3 linked regions of the Macaca mulatta genome follow. The protein of the gene in region 3 purifies or fractionates together with the protein of the main gene of each other region. This does not show direct contact. Links are inferred from orthologs where the notes say so. Each region holds a gene or a part of one and is shown on either strand. Other genes may lie near its edges.

The links. The genes of interacting proteins can lie anywhere in the genome.
Region 1: the proteins of CLSTN1 (region 3) and KLC1 purify together in Homo sapiens (co-immunoprecipitation; 3 studies listed by BioGRID and IntAct, with this or other methods). This does not show direct contact. The link is inferred for Macaca mulatta from reciprocal best matches to the Homo sapiens genes CLSTN1 and KLC1.
Region 2: the proteins of CLSTN1 (region 3) and APBA2 purify together in Homo sapiens (affinity purification with western blotting; 3 studies listed by BioGRID and IntAct, with this or other methods). This does not show direct contact. The link is inferred for Macaca mulatta from reciprocal best matches to the Homo sapiens genes CLSTN1 and APBA2.

What each region holds. Positions count from the first base shown.
Region 1 is NC_133412.1:177,048,819-177,052,873, reverse strand, and holds the start of KLC1 (kinesin light chain 1), read right to left. Parts: upstream 2,828-4,055; 5' UTR 2,533-2,827; intron 1-2,532. UniProt on the Homo sapiens protein: Kinesin is a microtubule-associated force-producing protein that may play a role in organelle transport. The light chain may function in coupling of cargo to the heavy chain or in the modulation of its ATPase activity.
Region 2 is NC_133412.1:9,534,398-9,538,714, reverse strand, and holds the start of APBA2 (amyloid-beta A4 precursor protein-binding family A member 2), read left to right. Parts: upstream 1-1,490; 5' UTR 1,491-1,609; intron 1,610-4,317. UniProt on the Homo sapiens protein: Putative function in synaptic vesicle exocytosis by binding to STXBP1, an essential component of the synaptic vesicle exocytotic machinery. May modulate processing of the amyloid-beta precursor protein (APP) and hence formation of APP-beta.
Region 3 is NC_133406.1:231,018,156-231,021,721, reverse strand, and holds part of CLSTN1 (calsyntenin-1), read right to left. Parts: intron 2,707-3,566; coding exon 2,544-2,706; intron 1-2,543. UniProt on the Homo sapiens protein: Postsynaptic adhesion molecule that binds to presynaptic neurexins to mediate both excitatory and inhibitory synapse formation.

The DNA.
Region 1 (4,055 bases), on a different chromosome or scaffold from region 3:
ATCTTCCCAAATACTCTCGTTTGAATATATTACTCTCGTTTGAATATATTACTGATCATTTCTTTGCTACATAAAATACTGGTTTCGGCCCAGGTGCAATGGCTCACACCTGTAATCCTAGCATTTTGGGAGGCTGAGGCGGGTGGATCACCTGAGGTTAGGAGTTGGAGACCAGCCTGGCCAACGTGGTGAAACCCCGTCTCTACTAAAAATACAAAAAATTAGCCTGGTGTAGTAGTGGGCGCCTGTAATCTCAGCTACTAGGGAGGCTGAGGCAGGAGAACTTCTTGAACCTGGGAAGCAGAGGTTGCAGGGAGCCGAGATCATACCACTGAACTCCAGTCTAAGCGACAGAGCAAGACTCATCTCTAAACAAATAAATAAATAAAAATAAAATACTGGTTTCTAACATTCCACTTATCTACGAAGAACATTTTCAGGCGATACTAATCCTACATTTCACTCAACTTTTGATTTTTCTATTCTAGGTTTCTTTTTATACAAGTATGTTTTAAAATAGTTTATGGCCCTATACAGAGTTACACATTGACTTTTTTCCAACACTGAGAAACATGCTTAAGAATGTATAAATTTTAAAAATGTATAAATTTGGGCCAGGCGCAGTGGCTCACGCCTGTTAATCCCAGCCCTTTGGGAGGTCAAGGTGGGCAAATCATGAAGTCAGGAGATCGAGAACATCCTAGCTAACACGGTGAAACACCGTCTCTACTAAAAACACAAAAAATTAGCTGGGCGTGGTGGCGGGCGCCTGGAGTCCCAGCTACTGGGGAGGCTGAGGCAGGAGAATGGCGTGAACCCGGGAGGCGGAGCTTGCCATGAGCAGAGATCGCACCACTGCACTCCAGCCTGGGCAACAGAGCAAGACTCCATCTCAAAAAAAAAAAAAAAAAAAAGTATAAAATTTAAATGAGTGCAGTTATTTGTTATGAAATATTTAAGACACTGTGTGCCTCTCCCCAGTGTCATTCCCTTCCCCTTTGCTGGAGATAAACGCTGTCCAGTACACAGACTCCTGTGCACGTCTGGATGCTTTTCTAAGACAATGCTAGGCAAGGTGAGGTGCGCAAGGCTGCAGTAGGGTTAGAGGTTACCACCTGGGTCCTCCACAGCACTCAGTGCCAGACAGGGCTGCCAGGCTCAACCGCAACATGATGTTGCATTCTTTGATGACTTGGAGAGACACTGGCTCTTTAGAGTGCCTACCCTCCCACACAGAATTCCATACAAGTTGAAATACACTTCATACTTGGTATCATTGTATTCCTACAAATATTTAGGAAACAGAGCAATAGGTCAAATTTCTCACCATAACAGGCTTGTTGGCAATACCTGAAAGAAGCAAGGCCATGGCTGTAATATAACTTAAGGAGGTCGTTCCAGTTTCCTAATGCGTTTTTCACTAAACTAGTGCAATGTATTCCGAGCTGATTCTGATCAATGGCTTAGTCATGCCATACCAAAAAAAAAAGGCCTTGGAATTTAACTAATGCAAAGAATCAAAGCTCTAACTGCCCTTTTACAGAACACCTGAAATAGTATATCTCAAATTTTTTGTTCTCACATTTTTTAGAAGCATCATTTTTGTAAGTATTCCTTTATAAATGCTTAATATGTAAATTCTTAATGCATTGAAATAATAAAAAGTAACAGGCAGCAACAATTCCAATACAAATATACCTAGAAACGACCTACAAATATTAAGTATAAAACCATCCACTCCATCACGCATTAATTTCACTTTTTTAACGCTTTATTTTAATTTTCCTAGGGAAAAGGGTGCACCCAATTTTACATCGAAAAAGCATTCCAGGACGGGGGCTGCTTCAACTTTAGTTGGAGCAACGCCAGCTTAGGTGAACAGGGTCGCCTGAAACGTTTCACATCTGGTTACCGAAAAAAACGGGTCGCCAAAGAGGCGAAGCGGAGTCGGCTCTCGGGAGGGACCCGGCCCCCCGCCGCCCGCGAGGATGACAGGCGCGTCCGCTCAGGGCGGTGCCGGGAGAGGCGGGGGTGGAAGGAAGAGGAGGAATCGGACAAAGCCAGCCCCGCCGGGCCTCCGGCCTCCCCGCCCGCCGCGATCCCGGGGGCGGCCACCTCCCCTGTCGCGGGCTCCCGGGGTCCACAGCTGTCCCCGGGAAAGGCCGCCGCCGCCCGCAGCTGGGCCGAGCCGCGGATGCGGGACCAGGGCGGGGCCCTGGGCAGGGTCGAGGACCGGAACCTGCAGTGGGACGCGGATGGGGAGGACGCACGGCGCCGGGAGCTGGGGCTGGGAAAGGGGCCGGGGACAGGAACCCGACCTGAACCTGCAAGGGGTCGCGGACCGGCCGGGGCGGTGAACTGGGGCGGGTACCGGGGTGGGAACCGACAGGGTCTGGGACCCAAACCGGGACAGGGACCTGGATGCAGACGGAGTTGCGCCCGGGGCAGGTCCGAAAAGGAGCGAGACAGGGCCGGGGCGGAGGATGAGGAGGGGGCCGGGGCCGCGGTCCGGGGCGCACGCCGGGGACTCACCGTCCAGCTCCTGAGGGCCGCGCTGTCTCGCGCTGTCAGCACCAGGAGCGCCGCCGGGCGCGCGCGCGGAGCAGCGACCGCGCGCCGAGCCCGCCTCGGCTGTGTGAGGCGCGGCGCAGCAGTCACGAGCGAGGGGCGCCGCCGCCCCGTAGCATCCTCAGCCGCCCGCGCGCTGTCCCCTTGGCCGCCGAGCACAGCCCCGCGGCTCCTCCTCGCAGCGGCAGCGGAGCCGACCCAGCCAGTCCCGCTCGGCCGCCTGCGCCTCTCCCGCCGCCGAAAATGGCGTCTCAGTGTTGCTCCCGCGGCGCCCCGCCTCGCCCCGCCCCACAATGCCGCGCGCCGGCATGACGTCATCGCCTCTCGCGCCGCCCGGGGCTGGGGAAACTGAGGCTGGGTGGCTCTCAGCAAGCGCTCGGCGAGCTGGGGACTGGAGGGGCGAGGAAGCTGTTTGGGTATCAGGAGGGCGGTCACAGGGAACAGGGTGACGGTGCAGGACGCCGCGGGCCTCCCGGCTGGAACACGGACGGGGGCGGGGCGCTTGGGGCAGGGCGCGGCTCGCGGGGTGGGCGGCCAGGCCCTGGCCTCTCCGACCTCACAGCCGCGATGACCGAGCGCTTCGGCACCTTCCCCTCCAGCCGGGCTGTGGGCACTACCGAAATGCGGCCGGGGAAGGTGCAGGCCTGGCCGCAGCCGCCACCACTGGGCTCCCGCCCCGCCCCACTCGGAGGCCCGCGAGCTTCGTGCGCTCATTTCGGTCCCCCCAAAACCCCATTAGGAAGCCTTTGGGAGCCCCCGGAATCACAGGATCCCGGCCAGGCCTTTCTCCCTTCTCCAGGAAAACCGACAGCCTTTGGTCGAGACCCTGATCCCTAACCCTGCGCCTCCCTCTCCTCGGGGCTTTTGGACCCTCGTATCTGTACGAGGAGACTTTCCAGGCGCTCCCCCTCGACACAAACTGCGCCTCAGACGGGCAAAGGGGAAGGGCCGGGGTGTAGGCTGTGAGGGTGGGAGACATCCACTCTCTGACCCCACGCAGCCACCGGCGCATCTCCCTGGCTGCAGGGCCTCGACCTCCAGCCCGGCCTGAAGGGCAACGGAGCGGGCCTGGGTCAAGTCCTGCGGCTTCGCCGGCTCCGCAGGCCTGACTCAGCAGCCAGCCGGGAGGGCATGCTGATTCAGTGGGCGAGGCTCCACTCGCTGCTGCCAGCGGCTTGGGATAAGCCCTCCCAGTGCCTGCAGACGTCCCAAATGCGGGGCCCGGAGGCATCGTTTAACCTGGAGGGGTTCCTGGGCCAGTCCCCGAACCCCATCTTGTGAACTGCTGTTCCTTTCCGATGTTACCACCCAGCACCAGCAGCCCTGTGTGAACCCTGCAGTTATGCCCCGCAGTCACCAGAGAAGCAACTGCATCCCGGTTTTCCCAGGGAGGTCTGGTTACTTTTATCTCATTTATAAAGACAAAGGTGGGCTGGCCGGGCGCGGTGGCTCAAGCCTGTAATCCCAGCACTTTGGGAGGCCGAGGC
Region 2 (4,317 bases), on a different chromosome or scaffold from region 3:
TGTTAGCCAGGTAAGCAGAATGTCCATGCAGGTGGAAAGTAGGCAGTGAAGGTGTGCTCATCTGAGTGGGGAGGGGCATAGGTCTGGAACCTTGCTGGCGTGCCCTGGCCTTTGCCCCTTTGACCCTGTGGCTACAAAGCTCCCCTACCAGGAGCAGCCCCCACTGGCGACTCTGGCCCTGGGGGCCTGTGAATGTTTGGTGGGGGCAGGGTGTGGAGAGGCCAAGTCCACACTGTATCTAACCCTAGACCATCTCAGGATTCAGCTTCCCCCAGCCCCTTCTCCTCAGGGTCTCAGCTCTGGCCCTCAGGGCAGCAGGAGGATGCGCTATCCTCACCCCCCAGGCCCCCTGCCCTTCTGTGCCCCCCCCCCCCAACTTCAGAACTTGCCATGCCACAGCTTCGCCTAGTCCAGCCACAGGAGAAAAGAAAACGAGGGCAAATCACCACGATTTGGGGGTGGGAGGCAGCTGAGCCCTCGTTCTGCCCAGACAAGGCGTCCTGTACGTCTCCCACGGCTTATCACATCTGCCTGGGACTCAATGAAAGAGCCAGAGGGCCGAAGGTGACACCGGAGTCTCCAGCATGACCTTCGAGGGCCTCCAGGGGATCTCTCAAGCAGTAGGTGGCCGAAGACTGGCTCCCCTGGGGATGCATGTGAGTGTCTGGGAGTGTGTGCTCCCCAGGGTCCCGCGGAGGTCAGGGTCCTCTCCATTTAGGACAGCAAGGAGAGAAAGGCCTGGAGTGAGGCCCTGGGGCTGGGGGCTAAAGCAGCACAGAGTATCAGAAACAGGGTGCTGGGATGGTTACCGGGGACCGCCAGGGAAGACTTGGAGTCCAGCATGCGCCTAAGGGAGCTGCGGTGAGAGGCAGCAGGGGGCCTCCCCTGCCGGATGGGGCTTTCGGAAGAACCGAGGGTTCTTCGCTCTAGGGTCCCCTATTACAGCTGCGCGGCGCGGCGCGGCGGCCCGGGTAGGGTGCGGAGCCTCGCGTTCACCGGCTCTACCTGCGGGACCAGACCCCTGCAGCTCCCCAGCCAGCAGGGCCAGGGCACGCCCGGGAATCTGTGTGCTCCCCAGGACCCGGGGCGTTCGGGGCGCCGCGCCTTCCAGCGCCTGGGTTCCAGCCCGGGTCCCGGATACCGGCCCGGCGGGACCCAGGTTCCGAGTGCACCCTCCTGCCCTGCCGACTGCCCCAGCGCCGGGGCCAGGGGGCGCAGGGCCTCGCGCACGCCCGGCACGGACGCATCTTTGTCTTTCCTCTCTTCCCGGCGCGCGATCTAGCCGGGAATCGTTTTCCGGCCTCGGTGTGCTCGGCGGGGGTGAGGCGGAAGCGGCCGGGGCGGGGGCGCGGGCCCGGCAGCCACAGGCCGGTGCGGGATGCGCCCCGCAGCCGCGCCGCGTGCGCCCGGCAGAGGCGGCCCTGCGTGCCGTACGCTGCGTCCGGGGCGCGCCCGCCGCTATTCGGGAAGCTATTCAGCTTCCCGGGCTCATTAGCAGTCGCGGTGTGCGGCTCGGCGCGGGCTCACAAAGAGCTCGGCCTCGCGGACGGAGCCGGCGGCGGCGGGGCGGGGACGGCGGCGTACCGGGGCAGCCCAGCGCCCGGGCCAGGTAAGCTGGGGAACCCGGGCTGCCTGACTCGCCGGCGGCGGCAGCCTGGGGCCGCCCGGGGCGCCGCGAGAACCCGGACGCGTGGGGGGCGGCGCGGAGGTTGCGGCCCGAGCGCTCCCGAGCGCTGCCCTCCGGGCTTGGCGTGGCTGCGGGGCGGCCGCCGCTGGGATCTGGGGGTACAGCCCGGCGGCCCCACTCCTCTCTGACCGGCCCCTTCCCCCTCCCACGACGGGAGGGCGGGCGGGCGGGGCGGGGACCAGGCGGCGGCTCTCGCATCCCTGGCAGGGGGGCACCGCGGCAAGGGGCCATCCGGCGGGGGCAAGAGGCGCTGTGTGGCGGTGCTGTCCGCTCGGGTTCTGCCGGGCTGGCCGGGCCGCTTGGCAGCGGCATCAAGTCCCCGTGCCGGGCGGCAACTACTGAGTTTGGGGTCGCCTCTGGGTTCGCTGCCCTCGGAGAACCCAATCCCAGATCTTCGCCCCCTTCCCTTTCCCTTTATAATAAGGCCCAGAGGGAAAAACTTATAAATTAAAAACCCCACACCCCGTTGCCCCTGGACTGCAGGTGCCCGGTTGGGGGCACGGCACGGACCTGCCCCTTGGCCTGGCCCCTTCCCCATGGCAGGCACTGCCTGGCAAGGCTGCTGGCGGGAGATCTGGCTCAGATGGTGAAGGAGAACATCGAGGTCCCCAGTTCCCAAGCAGGGCTCCATGGGCCCGGCGGCGGGCCTCGGTGTGCCCAGGCGGGGAGGGGGCGAACTTCCTTTCGCCAACGCCTGCCAAGGACCCCCGTGGAGAGCAGAGCCTTAGAGGAGCCTGCTGATCTTAACTTCGTATTTACTGGCAGAAGGAAGGCTTAATTTTTCAGATCTATTTAGATAGGACCTGGCAGGCACCAGACGTAAATCTGTGGTTGAGTGCAGTCAGCTCCTAAATGGGCATGTGGAGGGTGAGGCACCCCAAACTCGACATCTTGCGTCTGGCACTGTTTTTGGGCTAAACTGCCTCTGGCTTCTTCAACCTCCTGTGCCTCTTTCTGTTTTTGTTTGTTTCTGTTTTCCTTCCTCTTTGAGAAAGGACAGTGGTTTTAGAAATAATGACCGGAGAGCTTTGCAGATTGAAGTGGGACAAGTTTTCCTGAGGTGCATGTTGGCAGGTGCCAGGAGCCTGCAGGCGGCGTTTTCTCAGGCCTCTGGGTCAGGGTCCCTCCAGTGAGGTGAGGCAGGGGTTTCTCCCTTCCCAGAGGTGTGGCCACTATGCCGAGGACAGGATCTCGGTTTCCGAGTCTGGGGCATCCAGGATGCCCTGCCCTCTGCACTGATTCCTGGGTAACCATGGGAGCTGCTCCCCTCTGCAGCCTGGGCTGGAGGGAATCTCCTGAGCTTAGGATTTGCGGGACAGGAGGGCCAGGGTGACGCGGACCTGGAACGCTGGGGCGCCGGGCAGTGTCCAGGGCGTGAGTGGATGAAGCTGGAGCTTGCGGCTGTGTGCTGGCAGCCCTCCCTTGGTGGGCTCTAGCAGCATTGGCAGGGGGGCCCTTGGAGTGAGCTCCATGGCTGGGCTGGGGGGTGATGGCACTAGCGATGGGGCACCGAGTCTTCCCTCTCATTTGTTAGGAAGTGCGGTTTGTGCTCCTCCCCACTGTCTCCTGGGCTCATGGGATTTGAGAAGCTGCAGGCTGAGTCCCACGGGGTGTGAGTGTGTGTGAGCAGGAGAGTTGGGCGGGCGCTGGAAGGAGGTGAAACTGGTGACCGTCAGCTCCTCATTCTCTTCCACCTTGCATGTTTTCGCTGACACCCCAGACCCAAGCTGTGGCCTGCTAGTTAACTTGTTTACATAACCTTCTTAAGTAGTTCTAACCTTTTTTTTTTCCCTCAACAAAATGTTAGTTTTACAGGCATAATTGGTGGGGATGGATTGTGAAATGGAGGTGCATAAATACCTAGTTTGCCAACTGAGCTAAGAAATACTGGATAAAAATAAGAGATAATTGTAAACGACACTGATCACACCCCTGGAAGCCGAGAGGGGTGATAAGACACCTTGATTTTTCTAGACAAAACTGAGGAAGTCAGAGGAAAAACAGTTGATGGTGAGGTTGGCATCAATCTGGCCTTTGTTTGGATCGGGCCGCGGTAGCTGCGGTGAGGGCTGTTGTTGGGCGCTCCTCGCTGTCCTCTGCCACGCATACCTGCCCCGGTGACTCAACAGGTGTGGGCTTCAGGTGACACCATGGTCTGAAGTCTTGGAGAAACCTTTACTGTCCAGGGGAGAAGAGGACTGGCGATCGGTGGGCATCGAGACCCTGCACACATCACTGGGTGGCTTGACTGGCTTCGACAGAGATCACATGCCCTGCCTTGCAGCCTGGTCCTTAGAGAAACAGAGAGAGTGGAGAGAGCTCTGGCCTGGGCAGCGGGCCTGGCTGCACCACTCACAGGCTGTGTGCCCTCCCTGCACAGTCTCAGTTCCTCACCCTTGCCAGGTGGCCGTGAGGACTGGGGACGTGGAGGCACAGGTAGGGTGTAAGGTAGCCACTAATGACCAGGCAGGTCTCCCCAGTGTAGGTGAAGTTTGAGAAGGTTGCTCACCCGGAGGCAGCCTGTGTGCCCGGCGGGGGTTGGAGGTGCTCATTGTTCTCTTGGATGGTGGTTGGGCCGAGCGCCCACAGGGAGGCTTCTCTGGCTCCTTCCTTTCCCAGAGCTCCTCCCC
Region 3 (3,566 bases):
CTCCTGGATCCAGTGTCCTGACTATAACGACCTACCAGAAAGGCCCACATGTGGTGGCTGAGCACAGAACCAGCACTCTCCAGGTCATGTTGTAGGAGAAAGGCCGCTCCTCAAGCCCTGCAGCCCTGTAGCCCTCCCCTCTATGGTGTACTGGGGCCCCTTTTGGGCTGCGGCTGTGTGGGGACGTGTCGAGGGGCAAGGCTAGAGTTGTATCCAGGTGAAGCCCATGTGAGTCACAGGACTGTGCCACCTCCACACACACCAAGGTTCCCCTACAACAGGCTGGTGGAAGGGAATGAAGCTGCTGCCCACAGCCCAAGCTCTCCACGGCAAAGGTGCAGCAAAAGTGGCAGAATCCACCGACAAAAAAGAAGAGGAGATCCTCTCTCCTGTTAACTGAGTTTTAAAGAATCTGTGGGGCTTTTGTTTGTTTGTTTTGAGACAGAGTCTCATTCTGTTGCCCAGGCTGGAGTGCAGTGGTATGATCTTGACTCACAGAAACCTCCGCCTCCCAGGTTCAAGTGATTCTCCTGTCTCCCAAGTAACTGGGATTACAGGCGCACGCCACCACGCCTGGCTAATTTTTGTATTTTCACTAAGGACAGGGTTTTGCCGTGTTGGCCAGGCTGGTCTCGAACTCCTGATCTCGAGTGATCCGCCTGCTTCTGTCTCCCAAAGTGCTAGGATTACAGGTGTGAGCCACTGCGCCCAGCTATCTTCCATAAATTTCTAACCTTACTCGAGGTACAATGTTTCCACAGGGAGAAAGAAAAAAAATCAAAAAGTAATTGATGATGATGACATCTTGAAATGACACAGCACAGAGTCCAGTGCAAGGGTCAAAGTGGCAATCACGAACCTCTGGGGTGGGTTCCATGAACTTGGATAGGAAAAACTACATGCTTATTTCCACTAACTTCTGAAATTCAGCATTTCCTTTGGTTATAAATGTAGGCTATACATCACAGCAGTGTTAGCAATGACTGCAACTTTGTCACCAACAGAAGGCACTGATATTTGCATATCAGGCCACAGCTGTTGCAGCTGCCACCGAGATCCTCACACAGCCCTCACAACTTGGAACTTACACCACTGTTGGACCTGCTGCTAAAGCTGGTTCTTCATTTGTTAACATAAAGTACCACCGGTGTTACTGTTTCACAAATGTGGTATTTCAGGATGTTAATAACGATGTTTCAGTTGAACTGATTGCCCTGAAATCCTAGACATTTATTTTGTAGATTAGTAAGAAGGGATCTATCTGCCTTGCCAGACCACCCAAGGGCTCCACGGCACAAAAAAGGGCTTAAAACCCCAGGTCTGAGATGGGCACGGTGGTTCACACCTGTAACCCCAGTACTTTAGGAGTCTGAGGTGGGAGGATCTCTTGAGCCTAGGAGTTTGAGATCAGCCTGGGGAACACAGTGAGACCCCATGTTTATAAAAAATTAAAATAATAACAATAATAAAAACACTGATCTGGTGGGTCTGAGCGTGGGACCGGAATACAGAGGTTTTTCTTTTTCTTTTGAGACAGGGTCTCACTCTGTTGCTCAGGCTGGAGTGTAATGGGGCATTCTTGGCTCATGCAGCCTCTGCCTCCCGGTTCAACTGATTCTCCTGCCTGAGCCTCCTGAGTAGCTGGGATCACAGGCACACGCCATCATGCCTGGCTAACTTTTGTATATTTAGTAGAGACAGGGTTTCACCATGTTGGCCAGGCTGGTCTCGAACTTCTGACCTCAAGGGATCAGCCTGCCTCGGTCTCCCAAAGTGCTGGCATTATAGGCGTGAGACACCACGCCTGACCCACAGGATTTTCAAAGTAAAAAAATTCAAAACCCTAGCTCCTGATTAATCAGCTGGGTGACGCTTGGCTTGTTGCATCTCTAGGCCTGAGTTTCTTCAGCTATAAAAAAGGGATTTTAAGGTTTAGGTGAGATGACGTGTATAAAGGAGTTGGCACACAGCCTGCCACTTGGTAAGTACAAGTAACAAGCACTGGTGCTCTGGTGGTTATCGTGTCCCCTCTCAGCAGACTTCGATGGAACCCTCCCCCATGCATGGCCCTTGCTGAGGGTGAACGGAGCCCTCGCAGCCCTCCTACCAGGTCACCAAGTGATAAACACTCTGGAAGAGTCCTCCAGGTCCAAGGCACGCTTCTACTTCTGTGTCCTTTATTTCTCTGCCTGACTCTTGCTGTTGCCTCTTTGTCCTTGTGAGCCTTTCAACAGATGGATTAATTTATAAAACAGTTCCCCCCACTACACTCTCCCTCTGTGCAACGCTCCCTCCTGGGTTTCCAGGAAAGGTGACAGTGTGGTCAGTCCTATCACCTTTATGGAGCACCCACAGATGGAGCTACACTAGCTAGAGTGGGGCATCGGCAATGTCCCCAAATAGGATGTACACAGGAAATGGAAGGAAGATATCCAGGACACAAAGGTAAGGCTGTAAGACGCTGACCACAGCCTGCTGCCACCAACCTAGTAAAGAGGTACAACTTAATTCTCGAGTCGAGGGCTAGGGGTAATGACAGTTACCTTGCCAGCAAGCCCCCACCACGAGCTGAGTTTCTATCTTGGATGGATGGAGCGGGTAATCCTCAGTCACAGAGAAGGGCTCGTGGGACGTGCCATCCACATAGAGAGTCACGCTCGGGAATTCCACATTGAGGACGTAGTGGTGCCATTCCTCATCACAGACCTACAGAGAAAAAGGGAAGCGGGGGTGGTGAGATGTCCACTTTCCTTCTCATCAATGCCCATGGAAACCAAGTCACCCAAAACAAGGGTCTTCCTAGAAGGAAAAGGATGAAGAAAATCTAACCACAAAATACCTGCAAATACATCTCACCAAAAGAAGTCCAGCCTCTCTAGGCCATCTCTAAACTACGTGGCATGCATTGCTCACAACCACAGGACACAGCCCAAGCGGGGAGCTGCCCAGTTCTGCTCTGCCAATAGCATAGCACCAGAAAGTTCCTGTATGGGCAAGCTGGATACCCACCCTTTAAAGGGTTGAGTTAGTTTGCCACTGGCCATTCCTTTTCTGAATAAAAATAAAAAGTGCCTTTAGGCCAGGCGCAGTGGTTCACGCCTGTAATCCCAGCACTTTGGGAAGCCAAGGCGAGATCACTTGAGGTCAGGAGTTTGAGACCAGCCTGGCCAACATAGCGAAAACCCGTCTCTACCGAAATTACAAAAATTAGCCAGGTGTGGTGGTGCACGCCTGTAGACCCAGCTACTCAGGAGGCTGAGGCACAAGAATTGCTTGAACCTGGGAGACAAAGGTTACAGTGAGCTGAGATTGCGCCACTGCAATCCAGCCTGGTGACAGAGCAAGACTCTATCTCCCCAAAAAAAAAAAAAAAAAAAAAAAAAAAAAAAAAAAAAAGTGCCTTTAATCTCAGAATAAGGCATACCACAATACATGTATTTTATTTTCCAACTCAAAGTTGATGATCTCAATAAATATGAACATCAGCTCCAAGGGCACCCCAAATCAAACTGTGTTCCCAACCCGTGATGAATGAGCGTGTGAAACCACATCAGCCAGCTGCAGTG